Xenopus tropicalis: one gene and its partner. The protein of the gene in region 1 purifies or fractionates together with the protein of each later gene. This does not show direct contact. Links are inferred from orthologs where the notes say so. Each region holds a gene or a part of one and is shown in the gene's direction. Other genes may lie near its edges.

Evidence for each region.
Region 2: the proteins of polr3gl (region 1) and crcp purify together in Homo sapiens (co-immunoprecipitation; 3 studies listed by BioGRID and IntAct, counting the BioPlex papers as one, with this or other methods). This does not show direct contact. The link is inferred for Xenopus tropicalis from reciprocal best matches to the Homo sapiens genes POLR3GL and CRCP.

Annotation. Positions count from the first base shown.
Region 1 is NC_030684.2:128,423,902-128,434,616, forward strand, and holds the start of polr3gl (DNA-directed RNA polymerase III subunit RPC7-like), read left to right. Parts: upstream 1-5,815; 5' UTR 5,816-5,844; intron 5,845-7,458; 5' UTR 7,459-7,593; intron 7,594-9,678; 5' UTR 9,679-9,715; coding exon 9,716-9,835; intron 9,836-10,715. UniProt on the Homo sapiens protein: DNA-dependent RNA polymerase catalyzes the transcription of DNA into RNA using the four ribonucleoside triphosphates as substrates. Specific peripheric component of RNA polymerase III which synthesizes small RNAs, such as 5S rRNA and tRNAs.
Region 2 is NC_030678.2:97,799,230-97,809,040, reverse strand, and holds the end of crcp (DNA-directed RNA polymerase III subunit RPC9), read left to right. Parts: exon of another isoform or gene 1-1,812; intron 1,813-4,279; coding exon 4,280-4,417; 3' UTR 4,418-5,251; downstream 5,252-9,811. UniProt on the Homo sapiens protein: DNA-dependent RNA polymerase catalyzes the transcription of DNA into RNA using the four ribonucleoside triphosphates as substrates.

The DNA of each region.
Region 1 (10,715 bases):
GTTCTGAAATATATAGGAAAACTACAAAAAAGCTTACTAGATTTTATGATCTTTAGATGGGTGAAATTTTTCAACAGGCATGGATTCGTGGTGAATTTACATTTTCGCCACTGGCAAAACAGGCAGCAAAATGGAGCCCATTCAACAATCTAGGGCATCTAGATTTGTTTTACAGAGAGAGGGACAAGCCTTTTGAATATGTGCGGCTAGGGCCCTAAGACACAAGTATCGGCCCAGACTTCGAACACGCAGTTCACCTAGGCCAGTGATCCCCAACCAGTGGCTCGGGAGGAACATGTTGCTCACCAACCCCTTGGATGTTGCTCCCAGTGGCCTCAGCTTATTTTGGATTTCTGGTAAGGAGGCAAGTTTTGGTTGCATAAAACCAAGTATAATGCCAAACAGAGCCTCCTGTAGGCTGCCAGTCCCCATAAGGGCTATTAAGTAGCCAATTATAGCTCTTGTTGCTACCCCCACGAACCTTTTCCAGGCTTGTGTTGCTTTCCATTTAAATGTGGCTCACAGGTATAAAAGGTTGGGGATCCCTGACCTAGGCCAATGCTAAGACTGGTCTGAACACTGCTCCTGAAAGAAAATTTCCTTGGACCCCATTCAAGTGTGTTGCATCCTTGAAAGCTATCATTATTACTATAAAGATAGGAAAACTTTTGGCTGGTGCAGTCAGTTTAGTATATAAAATATGGCATTTTTAGGTATATTCATTCTTTAAGGTCTCCCTCCTTGGGTCATACAATTCACGGTGCACACAAACGAGCCAAGGCACACATACATGCTAGGCCCCATCAGCCAATGAATGGACAGAGTTCTGCCTTTTGCTTCAACACTACTTCCTGTTACAGTCAGAGCTGCATTACTTCCTGTCAGCTGATCTCTGAGGGAGCACACAGCCCATCACTAAATGGCGGCTCAAGGGAAAGGATGTAAAAGGACAATATTTACTGATATATACATATTACTTTTGGCAAGACTCTAAAATATGTCACTTAACATAATATAAACTATCTGTTGGTTCAGTATTCATTCTGGGTATAAAGGATATATTACTCCATGTTGGCCTGCCTTCTTGGGGAGTCTGGAAAATGTCCTACTTAACTAAAGTTTTTGCTTGTGGCAGTTCCATTCCTCCTGAACAAAAGCCTGGAATTTGGACTTGAGCAGGGAGGCTAACCAACTGAACTGCAGTCCGATGGAAGAGCCCTTTGGGCCTCTTTGTGGCGTGGACCACCGGCAGTAATAAGGTCATCAACATTTATAGAATTATAAGACAACACAATGGGGGGGCTGTGGCAATGCTGAAATGAAGAAAGGTATGTTTCTTGGCAACGGAATGGTGGTTTTATTCAAATCCCGTAGTTCCTCCTTCAGCACAAAAAGTCAACAATAAAGGGCTCAGAACTTTATCCAGTCCCCAAGCCCACTAGAGCAGCGTTTTTCAACCACTGTAGTGTGCCGCGAGATGTTGCCTGGTGTGCCGTAGGCAGGGCACCAATGTACTAGGGGGGCACTGCTCTTGGCACCAATGTACTAGGGGGGCACTGCTGCTGGGCACCAATGTACTAGGGGGCACTGCTCTTGGCACCAATGTACTAGGGGGGCACTGCTGCTGGGCACCAATGTACTAGGGGGGCACAGCTGCTGGGCACCAATGTACTAGGGGGGCACTGCTCTTGGCACCAATGTACTAGGGGGGCACTGCTGCTGGGCACAGAGTTAAATTTTTTAACATTTTCTAATGGTGGTGTGCCTCGTGATTTTTTTCATGAAACAAGTGTGCCTTTGTCCAAAAAAGGTTGAAAAACACTGCACTAGAGACACAAAGTGGACAAACCAGTTTACCCCAGGGGGTCTGGCAAAATCCCTCCCTTTCCCGGATGAAAGTTTTAATTGTCTGGAAAGTGGGAGTAGTTGTGGTTCTTCACAGCCTCTGGGGTTTACCCAGGCTGAGGGCAGGACAACCCTCTTTGGCTCCTCCTTGGACCTGTAGGGAGACTCTCTCCAACTGCTGATTGGATCCCCTACCCCAAGGAGGGCTGTGTACTGCTGGAAGTCTGCAAGGATATTCTCAGGTACTGTTAATTTGTGGGTTGGTTTAAAGAGATTCTGTCAACATTTTTACTTCTAAATTACACTGTTTACATAGCAAATAATTCCCTCTGCCATTTCTTGAACCAACAAATGTATTTTTAGCTTTAATATTGGTGTGTAGGCGCCATCTCAGTGCATTGTGCCTGAGTCTGAGCTTTCAGCCAGCGCTACACATTAGAACTGCTTTCAGCTAACCTATTGTTTCTCCTACTCCCATGTAACTGGAGGAGTCCCAAGCCGGACTTGGATTTCTTACTATTGAGTGCTATTCTGATACCTACTAGGGGGCTGCTATCTTGCTCCCTTCCCATTATTCTGCTGATCGGCTGCTGGGAGGGGGGGGATATCACTCCAACTTGCAGCGCAGCAGTAAAGTGTGACTGAAGTTTATCAGAGCACAGGTCACATGGCTGAAGGCACCTGGGAAAAGAAGAATATGGCTAGCCCCATGTGAAATTTCAAAATAAAATTTCATTTTATGAAAAAAAAAATTTTCAAGTATTCCTTTAAGGTGAACGCTGCCCCGCAGATTGTACCAAGAGAACAGTGTGCTTCTAACCTGTGCCAAGTCTTTAATATGAACTCTGCACTGCTGATCTGTGACCTGCTCAAGCAGGGCTCTGTACAGTTAATTTAGGGACACCACTGGGGGCGCTGTACCACTGGACTATTTGACAGAAGTGGGCTGTACACCTTATTGATTGCAACTGGTTCTTGCTTTTTTTTGTCCCCCCCTAGCCATTCTACCCTGTTTGAACCCCTAAAACAGTGATCCCCAACCAGTGGCTCAGGGGTAACATGTTGCTCCCCAACCCCTTGGATGTTGCTCTCAGTGCCCCCAAACCAGGTAGTTATTTTTGAATTCCTGACTTGGGGGCAAGTTTTGGTTGAATAAAAACAAGATTTACTACCAAATAAAGCCCCTGTAAGCTGATAGGGTGCATAGAGGCTGCCTAATAGCCAATCACAGCCCTTATTTGGCTCCTCCATTAACTTTTATGTTTGTGTTGCTCTCCAAGTCTTTTAACATTTGACTGTGGCTCAAACCTCAAAGAAAGGTTGGGGATCCCTGCCATAAAATAAAGTGTGGAGTGTCGCTGATCTGTGTCAGTTTCCAACATGTAAGATTAGAGGGGGTGATAGAGGCCTCCCTCACAGAGAACATCATAGTGCCGCAGTTAAAAAAAGAGCCTAAAAAACCTATTTTTGGGTCATTTTTACTAATCGTCTTCACCTAAAATAGCCCTTTTTGTCCATGAACTGTGAAAAACCTGCCCCTGGGAGGCTCCCACACCATTAGCCCTTTTAGTGCCATAGGACGTAGATTCTACGTCCTGGGTAGCAAAGGACCAAAGTGCCACAGGACGTAGAATCTACGTCCTACAGCACTATCAGGTTTACAAGCGCTGCGCTGGCTTTTAAAGCAGCGCAGCGCTTGTAAACCCTTCACAACCCCCTAGGCAACGAGCAAAGACAGTCATACTCACCGATCCGGTCCCCCGATCGCGTCGCCAGCCAATGACAGCAGTGGACACGCGATGATGACGTGTCCACTGCTGTCCCTTTAAATAGCGCCGCCTACTGTCGGCTCCTCATTCCTGCTGCGCACTTCGGACCTGATGGAGCTCCCCTGCTGCCTTCCTGCCAGATTGGTCGCCCCTGATCGCCTGCCTGCCTTGGGTAAGCTGAACTACAACTCTCTACCACTGTTTATTTTGCTTATTTCTATCTCAACTGTCTAAAATTTTTTTTTTTTTTCAATTTTTTCTTCTATCTTTGTCATTATTACACTTTTGCACACATACACACTTATTTACAACTTTCCCAAGCACACACAGACACTTACACACACACTTACACTTTTTTTTTTTTTTCTATCTTTCTTTTCTCTTCTTTCTTTCTTTGCTTTCTTTGGCAGTCTTTTTTTTTTTACTAAAACTTTATTTCTGATCTTGCTCTATAATTATCTGATTTATTTGGTTGCATTTTAGTGTTTTTTTGGCATTTTCATAATTGATTTGTTTTTTTATTATTGTATTGTATTGTAACTTTTTTTATTGCTATTGGGTGCTGAATTTGCAGTGACGTTGGTGGATCCAGGGCTCTGACCACCAATTTCATTGCAATTATTGTTCTTCTGTTGGTTTAGGTGGTTTTATTGGATTTTACTGATTTTATGGTGTTTTATCTTTGCATTGTTCTTTATTGTGTGTTTAGTGCCCCAAAAAGGTTGCTTTTGCAGTGACATTGGTGGATCCAGGGCTCTGACCACCGATTTCATCAGGGCTTTTACAAACGACAAAAAAAATTGTGCAAAATTAACTTTTCTATGGAAAAAAACCTCAAAATATACAGAAATTTTTCATAATTTTTTTTTTTTTTTTACATATTTCACCCAAAATACACATCATATCTCCAGAAAAGTTATAAAATTTGGTATGTATGTCGAAGCCCAATTAGTGACGAAAAAAACGATATATAATTTCCCTAGTTTCATGGAGGTTTTCCTACCAAAAAACATTGTTAAAGTGAATGAGTACAAAATGCTTAAAAAACGTCTGGCACTGGGGGGAACCGAAATGACGAATTCGGCTGGCACTTAAAGGGTTAAAATAACCCAAAAACTAAAGCTTATTGTTAATATGTATTTCACCTATTATCTTCTCGTATATCAGACCATAATCTACTCCTACATTGTAAAATATATTGCTCTTAGGCTTAACATAAAACAACAAAAAGGAGCAGCTTGTTTTGGGGTAACAGGAACAGCCGCTTTATTGAAACCATTTGTGGGAAAACCCTGTCAGCACCTAGAACGTTCTACTCCAGAATCAACACCTTGAAGTTAGAACAAATTAACTGTAAATTGTTACTTTTGGGTAATTTCACCCATTGTCTACTTAAAGTGCCCCTGGCTTCCTTCCAAATTGTAAAAAAATATGGCTCATTTGCACTGAAACTCTTCTTTTAAGCCAAATTAATAGAAAAGTATGAATAAAATTCCTTTAAAAAAAAAAAAAAAAAAAAGCCCTTTTTATGTCAAATGTAGGAAAAGATTGACTATTGGACTAGTGCCTTTACCCCTCAAGTAAAAAAGTGACCAAGCCATTAATAGCAGTTAGCATAGGCTTAGTCTTGGCCAAACACTATGACCTAAAGCCCTGGGCAAGTAGGAAAGACTAGTAATCCCAACAGAAAGAATATTTTTTCCCTCGACAAAATAGCCTCATAACTAACACTTGTGAGTAGCCTCCTGTTATCCCAACCCCACTACTGCGCATTACTAACAGCTTGCACTTCTGCACAACTATCACACACATTCACACTGCTCGCCATTCTCGCAATGCCGCTATACGATGCCTCACCCCCTTATATAATGTTAAAGTGACGTCATAATCTCGCGAGATGAGACTTGCGACTTCCGAGAGCTAAAATACAAATGTCAAGGACGCAGCAGAATTTTAAAACCTTGATACGGGAATGCGGCCCGTGTTATAAAAATCGCGACTGCTGGCCGGTATGTTTGCATTTTCTTGCGCAATAAAGGTTTTCGCAGCGCCTTGTCACTATGGCAACTGCCAGTTCCCAATGACTTGTTCCGCCGTGCTTCACCCCGCCCCCAATCTCCTCAGTCATTGGCTGGTGGTACCACACGGCGGTAGCCTTGTGGGCGTGGCTATTGTGTACGTCATCACTATGCGCTATAAAAGTTGCATTCTGCGGGTGGGGAAGCGTGCAGTAAGACGAAAAATACCTATAATATCAATGTTATAAACATTTGTGTAGAAAATGATGATTTCGGCTTTGTTGCTGTAGCGCTACAACGAAGTAGTGTTCCCTCTAGTCTCTTTTCAAATTATATTTTGTCTGCACATTTGGCAAATTCTGTAGGCACAGAAGGAGAAGGGTTGCAATAAGAAAAAAAAAATCTTTGTGTATCGCACTTTGTTGCGTGCAATGGCATTTTTACCAGTCAGGTGGCAACCCTCATTGGGGCCCATGGCTTAGAGGGAACTCTATTTTATTTATAATTGCTGATTTGGCACAGATCAACCTGTAGAGCTGCTTTATTTCCTGTCAGCTGATCTCTGAGGGAGCACACAGCCCATCACTAAATGGCGGCTCAAGGGAAAGGATGTAAAAGGGAAATATGTACTGATATATATATTCCAGTTTGGGGAGATTCTTTAATAGGTCACTTAATATAATATAATCTGTCTATTGGTTAATTTTTCATTCTGGGGGTAAACTTACTTCCATGACTCCCATGTCAGGACTGGAGTTCCCACTAGACTTTAGATTGTTTACTATGTTTATGGCCTGTTCATTATTAAGCCATGTGTGGCCACAACACAGCATACATGCAGCACACACTGTGCAGAACATACAACTGCATTAAAGGAGAAGGAAAGGCTAATAAAGAGTTAATCTCAAGCTGCAGGCATACCGTCGGTTCTCTCAATAGTGCCCTTAAGTCTCCCTATATTTCTCCCGTTCAGATGATCAGAAGCCTCATAGGAAAAAAAAAAACTGAGATTTGTAATGCCTCGCTCCTGCACCAAGACCAGTGTACATGCTCAGTTAGTAAGACTATGAGGAAGCTTCCTGCTGATTGGCGCAGATCCTCATTCCTAAAGCTGGCCATACACGGGTGGCGATATCAGGGAGGCATGTAGGTGAATTCGATCATTTGGCCCTGGGGCCAAACGATCGAATTCTGCACGCGGCAATGGGGCAGTCGGTTCGGGGACTGCATCAACGAGCCGATGCGGTCCCCGATCCGACGGGATTTTCTAACCTGGCCGATCGTTATCTGGCCAATTTCAGGCCAGATATCGGTCGGCCATTCCGCTCGTTTCTGCCCCTACACGGGCCGATAAGCTGCCGAGTCGGTCCAAGGGACCGATATCGGCAGCTTCTATCGGCCGTGTATGGGGACCTTAAGGGGGAGGGAAGTGAGTTCTTAGCATTCTTGAGGGAGGAGGGAGCAGGAGAGAGCTGCGTGTCTGTAGCAGAGGAAAACAGACAAGAAATCCTGTGTTTCTTTTGATAGAGGACTCAGTGCAGCGTTTCTGTGAGTGCTTATGGCTGTATTTACATAGACCTTTCTGATATTAGTTTTTTACCTTTCCTTTTCCTTTAAAGGCCTTACTTAAAATTCAAGACTTAAAAATGAGGGCATGTACCCACATATTTTCCTACCCCTGGTTTATATGCTGCGTGCTGCTGTCATGTATATGGGGTAAACATCAAATGGCAACTGCTGTAACCAAGTTTTTTTATTCAGAGATGGGGGTAGGAATAGTATTTTCACTAATTAGCAACTTACACGAAGTCCTTTTATGTTTTTAGGCTCTTTGAGACCCGAAATTAAACATGTCGAAAGCACCAAACAGCTGACATGGGAAGAGGACAAGGATTCCCCACCTGGTAATGCAGTGCTGACCATGTAGGAAAGTGGCAGCTCTGAGGCACTTTTTTGTAAAGGTAATTGCACGCATATACACTGTTAGCTCATTATGCTGATACGGTGCTCTCCTATTCTGGAAGCATTGCTGTCTAATCTTTTAGATACAGACAGATGGTGCTTAAACATTGCATGGAGCACCTTTGTACAACATTCACAATTCTAACAGTTCACATTAAAAGAACAAGCTTTGCCATATACATAGTTAACAAATAATATGCAGGTGAAGTTATATTCACCTCAGAATCATCCTTCTGCTGATTCTTAACTTCTGCACAGACCCTGTGCTTTGGGAGGGGGTCAGTGACCCCTATAAACCCTACAGTCTTTTTTACTTTATTATATGATGTCATGGATAGTGCTTGCAGTGTACTTAACTCCTATTGGCTGTGTCTCCTGTCAGTCTGACACTGCTTCCTGTGCCTGTGATAGAGTGCTGCAAATCTATCATAACAGTATGTTATATTTATGATTTGCTAAGTCTATTTGCCTATGCCATTTAAAGTGATAAATTAACCAACTTTTCAATTTATGCAACTGGTTAGAGTTCAAAAGCAACCAGTTAATTGGTCCAAAAGTAAAGGCAAAGCCTGGACGTGATGATTTACGCATATAGGAAAGGGATCCCCAAGCTTTTTTTACTCATGAGCCACAGTCAAATGTAAAAAGACTTGAGGAGCAACACAAGCACCATAACAGTTCATGGAGGAGCCAAATAAGGGTTGTGATTGGCTATTAGGCAGCCTCTATGCACACTATCAGCTTACAGGGGCTTTATTTGGTAGTAAATTCTGTTTTATTCAACCAAAACTTGCCCCCAAGTCAGGAATTCAAAAATAACTCCCTGGTTTGGGGGCACTGGGAGCAACATCCAAGGGGTTTGGTGAGAAATATGTTGGCCCCGAGCCACTGGTTGGGGATCACTGATATAGGAAAGTTCTCAGTGTGTCAGGTTCTAAATAGGCCACTCCCATCCCTTCAGAAAACTGATCAGAGAGACAGAATGAGGACTGATTTAAAGGTATAAAAAGTAGCTTTTTCAGTGGCCTTTGTACTTTTTTTATGTAAAATGCTGCAAGCATTGTTGGTGGTTTACTAAAAATTAGACATTGAAGGCAAACAACCCCTTTAAAGGGAACGTTAGCCCAAGTGATACCTTATATTACCAAAAGTATCTGGACACCTACCTGTCCATTATTTAATGAATTTAAACAAAACAAAAAAAGAAGTGGTCCTGCTGCTCCAGGTCCTTAGCTCAGGGAAGCCGACAGGCTATCATAACAAAGTAAAAATAGATGATGAGCACTAAAAGTTAAACCCAGTGTTGGATGACCACAAGTATCTGGACATCTACCTGTCCACTGTCTCTGTTAATTAAAACAAAACAAAACAGAAGGGCACCAAAGCACAAATCTATGTAGAAGACATACCAATTCAAGAAAGCAGTCTGGGTGCTACTGACCTTTAGCTCAGGGAAGCAGAAAGACCATAACAAAGCAAAAATAGGTGATGGGTAATCCAATTTATCCACAAAGGGCACAAAATAGTAGTCAAAATCTCTGTTTATAACATTATCTCTACAACCTTACACATATTGTGCCCAAAAACACACTTAATCATAGTTCCACATTATTTTAATGAAACCAAAAGTATAGTCCATCTTACCTGAAGAAACACAGGTATTTGGCCAGTTGCAGCCAAGAAAAGCAGATGTGGCAATGGGTCGCTGCCTTGCTGGGTTCCTTTTCCTTACTTGCCACCTCCCCTTGCTCCTGGATGAGTTTACTTCTGAGTTTATGACGACCACATTTTTGGTCTGATGATAAAGCTTCCAGTTTTATAGTGAGAAGTGGGTCCAAGTGGGTAGAAATACAAGTCTGTGGGTTTGGTGGAATAGCCCTTTGAGATCTTTAGCCAAGGGTATTAATATGAATATGTTATCTGTTATACCAACCCATATTCTTCTGGGAAGCCTTTTTACTGGATGGTGGAACATTGTTGGATTGCTATACACTACATGAAGGAAGTCATGAGATATATACAAAAACAAAATATACAACAACATATACAAAATGTCAGGTGATGTTGATATCTCTTATACCCAGGCTAGGTTATTCTACTGTTTCTTGGGCATAGCACAAGATGGCTGGAAAAGGCAGAGGTAGCGGTCGGGGCCAACTGACCTTTAATGTAGAAGCTGTTGGAATTACCAGAGGGGAAGCACTGCCGCCACCCACTCTCCAACCTCCCCCGTTGTTCCCGGTAAGTTAAGCTCTATACAGCTTTGGTATTAAAGGAAAAGTAACACTAAAAATTTTTAAGTAAAAAAATCTATTCTACCCTGCTCCAATAATTGCCCTATCCTGCACACCGTTTATTATTTTGAATGCTTTATTAGAAAATACCTGCTAAAACCTGGCTTCCGGTCATTTGAAATAAGGCGATGCAGAAGCAGAATTGATCGATCACAGCCTGACTCCTTTGATCGATCCTTGCCTGACTCCTTCCTATACAGAAGGAAGGCTAGGATTGATCGTCGCGTAGTGGATTCTGCTTCTACATCGCCGTATCGCCTTATTTCAAATGACCGGAAGCCGGGTTTTAGCAGAAATTTTCTAATAAAGCATTCAAAATAATAAATGGTGTGCAGGATAGGGCAATTATTGGAGCAGGGTAGAATAGATTTTTTACTTACTTTCCTTTAAAGTGTACATGCTATGTATAGAAATGTACCAAAATAGGCATGAGTGGGGAACATATTGTAACTAAACCACAACTCCCCATATTTTTGACTGCTGATATGTGTTATTGGAGTCAGCAGACTGAATTTCAGCAAGAAGCAGTGAACTACAGGCTCCTGATCCATATCTTAGCATTTTAGTATCTGTTTTCCCTGTCTGCCCATTGTGCACTGCCTTCTATTGCTTTCTGACTTTTTGCCTGTTGGGTGGCAGGATCAGGGTCTGCATTTTTCATTACAGTGCCCAGTTGCCCACCCCTGTGCCTGCCATCCACCTGTTTGCTACTATGGGCCCTTTACAAGTGAGATACATGTGGCCTTCCCTAAGGTATAATGGCCTTTTAGTTATACTGTTATGTTTATAGAATATACATAGGCTTATTTTTCATTTGTCATGGGTTT
Region 2 (9,811 bases), on another chromosome or scaffold:
TTTACGATATCATCACTGAAGAAATACAAAGCTGGAGGATCAGATGGTCTATCTGGACCTTTCTATAAGTGTTTACTTAATGAAATTTCACCTTTTCTTAGAGAATTATATAATTTCATCATTAATCAAAAGCAATTTTTACCCTCCAGTCTCAATTCATCCAACCATTACATCCTCGTACAGACCCATTGCTCAAATCAACTCCCAAAGATCATCTCCCCAGAACAAAGTGGATTCGTGAAGGGGAGATCGGGAACTAAAAACTTAAGAACCTTAATTAAAGTCATCTACTCAGCTAAAACTAATAAAATTCCAATCTCATTGGTGGGTATAGATGCAGAGAAAGCTTTTGACAATATTTGCTGGGACTACATATTTGACGCGCTAGAAGCTTTTGGTTTTCAAGGTCATTTCATTGACTTAATTCATTTATTATATTCAGCCCCAACTACTCAGATATTGGCAGCAATTATTTAGAGTTGCGTTTGCAGTTTGGAAACTTATGCATAAGTCATACAAATCCAGTTATATCTCGACTCCATACCTACCTCTAGTGAAGATTTCTACACTATCCAGCTCATGGTATCCTCCTATTTCTACCATATGGAAACAAAAAGGAATGCAGCATATAAAAGATATTATTTCACCATCGTTTAATACAATTCTTGATTGGAAAGACTTCATCAATAAATATCAAATTTATGAAAAAGAAAAATTACATTATCTCCAAATTGCTCATTGGTTTCATCACCATATCCATCTAGATTCTTTATCAATGTATAATCCACTTCTTACTACTGCTCTGGATATGCTTATGGCTTCTCAATCCTGTAACAGAATCCGATCTATACAAACTTTAATATGGAATAAGTCTCAAATGTCATCCATTGGATTTGACTGCAAAAAAATTGTCCACCTATCTTCATACAGAAATTTCACCGGAAGTCTTAACCTATTGTATAAAGCGTTTTGAAAAACTCATTCATACGGAAGTCTGGAGGGAACAAAATTATAGTCTTATTCATCTAGCATATAAAGGTTTTAATTTTGACTCTAAGAATAAGAATTTCCTTAATAAATGTCCTAAATGTAGCATACCGCTTCCAAATATAATTAATCTATTATGGGAATGCCCTCATATCAGTAGTTTTTGGAAAGAACTTGAGAGCCATCTAAAATCTACTTTGGGTTCTAATTACCATCTGACTTCAAAATGCGCCCTATTAAACTTCTCAGAAGATTTAATGCAAGTGTCTCATTCATTTCAACCTAAATTAGGAAACATTTCCTACTCCATAAACTACTTGAACCTTATACTAGCTGCAGCAAAAAGGATTCTCTTCAAGAAATGGATAGATTCAAACCCACCATTTTTTATCAGAGGTCATTACTGAGTTACAAGTTTTATGTAAAAATGAAGCCATTGCCTTCAAATTTAGTAACACAAAAAACCATACAAGATACTTGTCTAAATGGAAACTTCATATAAATACCCTTTGTCCCAAGGATAGATCTCATTTGGACTCATTACTCTATGTACCATAGTTCCATGAATGCTTACAAACTCTTACTAGCCTGTCTAATTGTAATAAGAATTACTATATTTAATTTTATTCTTAGACACATGCTTAATAGCGATCTATGTTATTCCTTCATTATCTTTTCATACCTTGTCATTTGTAAAATACTGTTCTGAAATGTTCACTGAACTGTATTGTTTATATTATGTCATTATTAATCCTTGTTGGGATTTTGCTTATTTTCTCAATGTTTCTTGTAATTATCTAATAATAATAATAAAAAAAAGTTGTTCAGCTGTGTCACATTTATTTTACTTAAACAATCGCTTACTAAGGCTGATGCCACACGTGGCGTTTTTCCGCTGCGTTTTTTCTCAGCCTAAAAACGCAGCACAACCCACACAGCCCCTGACTATGGCGTTTTTCAGCCTAGTACTGGTGACGTAAGCAAATCCCGTTTCCATGGTGCTAATAGTGCCTAAGGCTGATGCCACACGTGGCGTTTTTCCGCTGCGTATTTTCTAATTCTCTCGGCGACTGAAAAACGCCTGATATCATCATCCATAGAAATAACTTGAAAAGACGCGAAGCAAACCACACAATGCCAAAATACGCTAGAAAACACCTTGGCACGGATTTTTCAAGCGTTGGCCGAAATACGCCAGTATTTGCAAAGCAAGCTATTCCTATGCATACGCAAAGGCAGCTGCCAGACCTAGCGGAAATACACAGCGTTTTTTGCTATTTCACACTATTAGCACCATGGAAACGGGATTTGCTTACGTCACCAGTACTAGGGTGAAAAACGCCATAGTCAGGGGCTGTGTGGGTTGCGCAGTGTTTTTAGGCTGAGAAAAAACGCAGCGGAAAAACGCCACGTGTGGCATCAGCCTAAGGCTGATGCCACACGGAAAAATGTATTTCCATACGCTCCTACCTGTGCCTGCACCACAATGAATGAGATACGCTCAGGTGCAGGCACATGTAGCCGATATCCGCCGAAGATACGAAGTCTTTCGTTTTTTGGCGGATACCGGCTACATGTGTCTGCACCCGAGTGTATCTCATTCATTCAGGTGCAGGCACAGGTAGGAGCGTATGGCAATATTTTCGGCAAGCGTTTTTCTGCTTGCCAAAAATATACGCCATACACTATGGGGCAGATTTATCAAAACACAAGTTCGAATCCCGAATGGGAAAAATTCGGATTGGAAACGAAAATTTCTGAAGATCGCAAATGTCACAAAAATGCTTAAGAAAAAATCGTATTAGTCACAATAATATTGTATTAGCGATCCGAATGTCACGAAATGTTCGTACCGAACGATTATAAACAGCGGCAAAACCGTTCTGATTTTTTCACGCTAAAAATATGAAAAAGTCACGGAAAATACGATTGGACTGATCGAACAAATGCTTGGAGCGTTTGTGGATAAGTAAATGTGCCCCTATGTGTGACATCAGCCTTAGGTCTATGCTCACAGGGCTTATTATATTATAGGGCAAAATAATGCTTGCTGAGAATCAGCCCTCTCCACTCTTAAAATCATTAAGTTGTACCTTCACCTGGAAGCACCAAATTTGCTCAGGTACAGGCACACACAGTGTACTTCTGGGCGAAACTGCTCGAATATGCAGTTTCAGCAGAAATAATATGGGTGCGCCTACACTCAGGCAGATTCAATGCTTCTGGGTGCATGCACAACTTAAGGATTTTAAGAGTGGAGGGGCTGATTCTTGCCAAGTGTTTTTCCACTTGCTGAGAATCAGACCCATGTGGCATAGCCCTTAAACCAGGGGTAGGGAACCTATGGCTCGGGAGCCAGATGTGGCTCTTTTGATGGCTGCATCTGGCTCACTGCCAAATCTTTAATTAAAAAATAACGGGGGTGTGGCCTGCGCTCGCCGGATAGAAGACCTGTTCTAAGCCTTAACACGTCTTATATCCGCCAAGCGCAGACCACGCCCTCCTCAGCATCGCATCCGGCATCCTTGGCACCCACCCTACCCTGCCCCTGCGCTCGGCGGATAGAAGACGTGTTCTAAGCCTTTGAACACGTCTTCTATCCGCCAAGCGCAGGCTACGCCCTCTTCTGCATCGCATCCGCATCCTCGGGACCTACCCTACCTTGCCCCGCAGCATCCGCGGCCAAACATATTGTATGGCTCTCACGGAATTACATTTTAAAATATGTGGTGTTTATGGCTCTCTCAGCCAAAAAGGTTCCTGACCCCTGCCTTAAACCCTCAGATACATTCATTTAGCAAATGGGTAGCAAACTCGTCCTTAATGGTTGCGTGCAATAGAAGCCTTTTTATAACAGAAGCTATTCAAATGCTTGACATTTGTTCAATTGTCCCCTCATGCTAGAGGAAGGTAACAAAAAAAGGTAAAGAAATACTGCCATAGGAAGATTGGAAGGGTGTGAATTTAGCACAGTGGAGATAGCTGAAGTTTGCAACGCTACACTTTTAGCTGTAACTGTCCACAGAGCAGCAATGGACATGTTATTTAGTACTGATATTGTATAGTGCTTTGAAATTATTTAGAATATGGCAAACCTCAAACACTATTTTGAAGGTATCAAGCCTGCAGAATGGTACTTAATAATAAGCTTTCTTTGCAGTTTGCAACATCATTGGATAGGAAGTAGTAGGTTTTGCTGAGCATGATAAGTAATGTTGTGGTAGAGCTGTATTATTTTTTTTTACTCATTTTGCTGTAAATTCACTTTATCAAAACTCTTATTACAAAACAGATGGTGGAGGAGAGCGAAGAAAGGCTAACAGAGGAACAAATTGAGCAGCTAATTCAGACAACAAGAAGCATTCTTCCTGGAGACCCAGAGGCGGAAATGAAAGAGCAGGCAGAACTGGGCAATGACGAAAACCAGTAGAGATAAAGGGCATGTGTTCAGTTAATCCACAAACCACAGGGTATCTAAATGTTACGTCTATATATGCACAGCCTCTTAATAGATTAACTGGGCTCAGTTACAACAGTTTCCAAAGTCTATTGACCTTTTAAGCTCTGATAAGGTTAAAACAACAGAAGTGCTGTCACTGAAGAGATGCTAAAATTGCTCTTTACAGATGATGCAACTAAAATGAGGGGCCCTTTAATTATGCTGTGAAAAGTGAAATTAACCAAAGAAATGGTGTAAAAAGCCATGTGAAATAAATAGCGAATTTATAAAGGTGTCTTTTTACATTGTCGGAACACCAGATTTGACACCATATCTTACGCCACTTCCGACCTTGTGTAAGTTGCAGTGGAAGTCACTGAAAGAAAAAAAACATTACACTGTTTTGTTATACGGTGAAACCTGTTTATTTGGCACCGTTCTTTACACCGCATAATAAATCTGCCCTTAAATGTATGTGACATACACAACCAGGCTGTAGTACAAGGTGGAAACCAACACCTAATAGGTGAATGATTTCATTTTGTCAGTTTGGCTTATCCACTGGCACTGTACAAACTTTTTAGAATCTGATTTGTTTGTAAACATGATTTAAATGGGTTAAAAATGTACTTTCAGGGAATGCAGTTCCTTATTTGAATGAATATTTATTTCTTTTATTCTATTTTCATTCTTTTGACATTATTATTTGTATTATTTGTTATATTTCTACCATGGTATAGCATGTTTTTTTATAGTTAGATGCTATTTGTGGTACATTGCTTTCAATTGTACTTATTTACACATTAAACTTGAAATTAAAACACATTCTCTTTTAATAAGCATTGTTTAATGAATGCAGTCATGATCAACTGGGTATCATAACTGTGAAGAATTTTTATCACCCGGATATTGACTGGAGTTCTGTGGGTTGTTACAAAACAGAAAGATGTAGCAGCTGGTTCTCCAACTAGTAAATATGCTCTGTTGCATCTGATGATCTCTAACAACATCTAGTGTAAAAGTGCAAGTACCAATCACTAAAATGCATGCAAAATTGTGCACACTGCAATGCTGTTAACAAAGTACATGTGTCTATACATGTGCTGAGTTCAGCCTTCTTAATTTTGTGTAGTCCTCCTCAGGGTTTAAGGGCTCTGGCACACGGGGAGATTAGTCGCCCGCGGCAAAACTCCCTGTTCGCGGGCGACTAATCTCCCCGTGTGCCAGAGCCCTTAACTGACAGTGCCACAATGCAAGGGAGGCCTGGTGGTATCTTTTCAATGTCAATTTTTAAAGAGGATCTAAATCTAAATAGAAAATGTGTGTACAGAGTGCCTCTGGGAAATTGCAGTTTATAATTAACATTGTATTTTTAAGTGGATTCACATTTTTGCAGTCCCTTTACCCTTCTGGACACCTACCTCCATTTTCTGTCTTTGCAATTACTGTACATCTGTATAGTACATTTTGTTTTGTGAATTTAAATTCACCTTTGAGTTAACTTTTAGTATGGTGCAGGGAGTAAAATTCTTAGACAATTTGACAATTTGAATTTTTTTAGTTTTTCAATTTTTTTGCTTTTTGTTCAGTATCTCTCCAGTTAGAATTTCAGCAGCTCTTAGGTTGCTAGGGTCCCAATTACCTTAGCAACCAGGAAGTGGTTTGAATGAGAGACAGAAATATGAATAGAGGAGGGCTTTAATAGTAAGATAAGGAATACAAACTAACAATAACAATAACATTTTAGCCGTTGAGATCATTTTGAAGGTTGGAAAGAGTCACAAAAAGAAGGGAAACCAGCACTTTAAATTCCATGTTTGTTTTACCCACTAGGTTTGGCAATAACTGATGAACTATATTTCTTCTCTTGCACGTTCCTCTTCTTTTTTAACACTCTTTCTTGATTTGCCATGTTACCCCCCTTCCTTGGGTGTTATTCAGTATTAAAGCTAACAGTGGTCAACCTGCAGCTGTATTTTGATAGCCTTCTAATTCAGTTAGAGACAAAATATCCATTACTTTTTTCCCATGACTTGGAGGACCACAGGGGGTTCATTTATTATTGGTTTGCATTGCTGCAGCTTTTTTATTTTGTATGTTACATGTTAAAGCAGAACTATTTAAGTTTCAACTCATGGGAAAAAGAAATATTTCAAACATAATCAATACAAAATTCTAAACCATTTCTGAAATAATCGAGTTTCTGTTCCCTGTCCCCCACAAGTAGAAGTAACTTTTTCATATTATTTTCGATGGACTGTTAGCTCTGATGTGCAATAACTCTGTTCACCATTTACCTTGCATGTGAAGTGATGGATTACTTGGGGCGGGGCAGTAAAGATCACGTTTCAGAAATGCTACAATATGTTTAAATGATAATACAGGTATGGGACCTGTTATCCAGAATGTTGGGACCTGGGGTTTTCTGGATAAGGGATCTTTCTGAAATTTGGATCTCCATAACTTAAGTCTGTTAAAAATCATTTAAGTATTCAATGAACCCAATTGGCTTGTTTTGCCTCCAATAAGGGTTAATTATATCTTAGTTGAGATCAAGTACAAGGTTCTAAATTATTATGACAGAGAAAAAGGAAATCATTTTAAAAAATTAGAATTATTTGCTTATAATGGAGTCTATGGGAGATGGCCTTTCTGTAATTTGGAACTTTCTGGATAAGGGATCCCATACCTGTATATGGAAAGTTTATTATTTCAGTGAGATAAAGCTGAAAAGCATTACATTTTTGTTTTTTGCTAGGTTTCCCTTAAACGGTATGTAAACCCTGCTGCACTGCTTAACCAAACTTTTCTCAGTTGTTACTGGACTACAAATACCAGAATAATGTAACATATTATGAAGCAAGAAGCATTCCGGGAGCTGTAGTGCAGGGTTAAAAAGCAATATTGCACAATAAAATGTTTCCTGAACTCATCCCCAAATCTCCACAGTGAGAAACTGCTTTAAAATGAAAAAATCCTCCAATGAGAATCCCAGCTGATCTGTGTAAATCTGGCTCTCTGTACTTTGTTCCCGTAATTAGAGTTGGAATCTTTAAGCATTTCACAGCATTGAACAAATCTGTCCTTTATCTCCATGTCTGATTCTAGTACAGGTATCATATAATAAAAGTGGTCAGTTCTTTTGCATCTATAAGAAATTCTTTATCAGTATAATTCTCATTGGTGAATATTTCATTATGTTTTTTGGCAACTTCTATAACAAAACTAGGGGACACAGTGGGGCAGCGTTATGACTGGGTTTGCAACCCCTTTAAGCCTTGTGCCTGCTAGGGTAAGGGATAAGTGTACATAAATTGTACATAAATGCAATTACTAGTATGTTACTCTGTTCAAAAATAAGCAATATGTAGTGGAAACCATACTTTTTAATATGCAAACAAACTGCAGAATGTCCAGATCAAATTCTTGTGGCTTCAGGTGTCTGCGCTCTCTGAAATATACAAACTAATCAAAATCAGGAAATAATGTGCAGAGTTTACATTAAAATAATAAGTGCACACAAAACCCACGCATTGTTATCATAACCCTTGTAGCTCTGTCTATAGCAGGGACAGGGACACAAAACGAAATATACAGAATGGTCATTGTTATTGTGCTTGATGAAAATTAGGTAATGTTATGATTTTTACCTGCGCTGCTCGTGATCAGATTCATTTCTTAACAATTCCACAGCGGGACAAGCCCTGAGGCAAGAAACATAACACTGGGTATTTTTTAACAAATTACTAACCGCATAGTTTGGTTTCCCACAAGAAAGCATTTATCACTGAGTGCCAATTACAAGATACTTTTCTTTGAATATAGCTGACTGGAATATTTATTACTGCATATGTGGGCAAATGCATTTAGCCTTATTTACTAAAAACATACAAAGCTACAGATGGGACAGGTAAGCCTGTGATACTAATGCCCAGGCCAGGAGACACATCCAAGAAATGCAACCATGCAGGGACGTGCCACCTATTAAAAAAATATGTCTGGAAGTAAATAGTTAGGAGCACCATGTAAGTGGTATAGTGGTGTGGCAATTTTATAACTTACACTTTTTTGATAATGTATGCTCTTGTACATATACTGTTAAAGCAGTGCTGTCCAACTGAAGGCCCGCAGACCAGAGGTGGCCCTCCAAATGATTTTTATGGCCCTCAGTCTGCTCTAGGGCTCCATAGACTTCAATATATGATATCATCATTTTAAGTGAATCTGGCCCTCTAACATGCTGTATGAGATATAGTTGGCCCACTACATGAAACAAGTTGGACAGCACTGTGTTAGAGTATAAAATATGTAAATCATGGCATAGTGCAAAGATGGAGGAGAAAGCTGCAGGGGAATGGGATTTAGCCTTTGCGTGTTGTTTTCAGCTTCCAATTCAGGTCTTTTATGTAAACCCTGCTGCACTGCAATGCTCAACCAAAGTTGTTGCTGGACTACAAATCCCTGAATAATGTACCATATAATGAAGGGTGAGATATGCTGGGAGCTGTAGTCTAGCAACACCAGGGTTGTATTCTTAAAGCAATATTGCACACAAAAAAAAATTTCTTAACCTTTCCTCAAATCTTTTGCTTTAAAATGTAAAAAATCCTCCAATGAGAATCCCAGCAGATCTGTGTAAATCTGTCTCCTTTTTCTTTCTTCCTGCAGTTGAAGTTGGAAGCATTAAGCACAGTTTCATAGCACTGAACAAGTCTGTCCTTTATCCCTGTGTCTGATCCCAGTGTCATATAATGAAGGTTAAAATTATTGTAATTGTAAGATAACAGCAAGATGCCTGACATAGTGCTTAGTGCATAGTGCAGCATTCTCACTGGCAGGGCCGGAACTAGGGGTAGGCAGAGTAGGCGCCTGCCTAGGGCGCAATCACTGAGGGGCGCACGGTAAAGTGGAAAGAATTTTTTTTGATGGGGGGCAATATGAGGGATTGGCTGCTGCTGGCACAGTTACAGACACAATTTGGATTGGCTGCCTGCTATCATATATACAGATTGGGGGCAATTGGGCAATATGAGGGATTGGCTGCTGCTAGCACAGGTACAGATGGGGGGCAATATGAGGGATTGGCTGCTGCTGGCACAGATGGGGGGCAATATGAGGGATTGGCTGTTGCTGGCACAGATGGGGGGCAATATGAGGGATTGGCTGCTGCTGGCACAGATGGGGGCAATATGAGGGATGGCTGCTGCTGGCACAGATGGGGGGCAATATGAGGGATTGGCTGTTGCTGGCACAGATGGGGGGCAATATGAGGGATTGGCTGTTGCTGGCACAGATGGGGGGCAATATGAGGGATTGGCTGCTGCTGGCACAGGTACAGATGGGGGGGCAATATGAGGGATTGGCTGCTGCTGGCACAGATGGGGG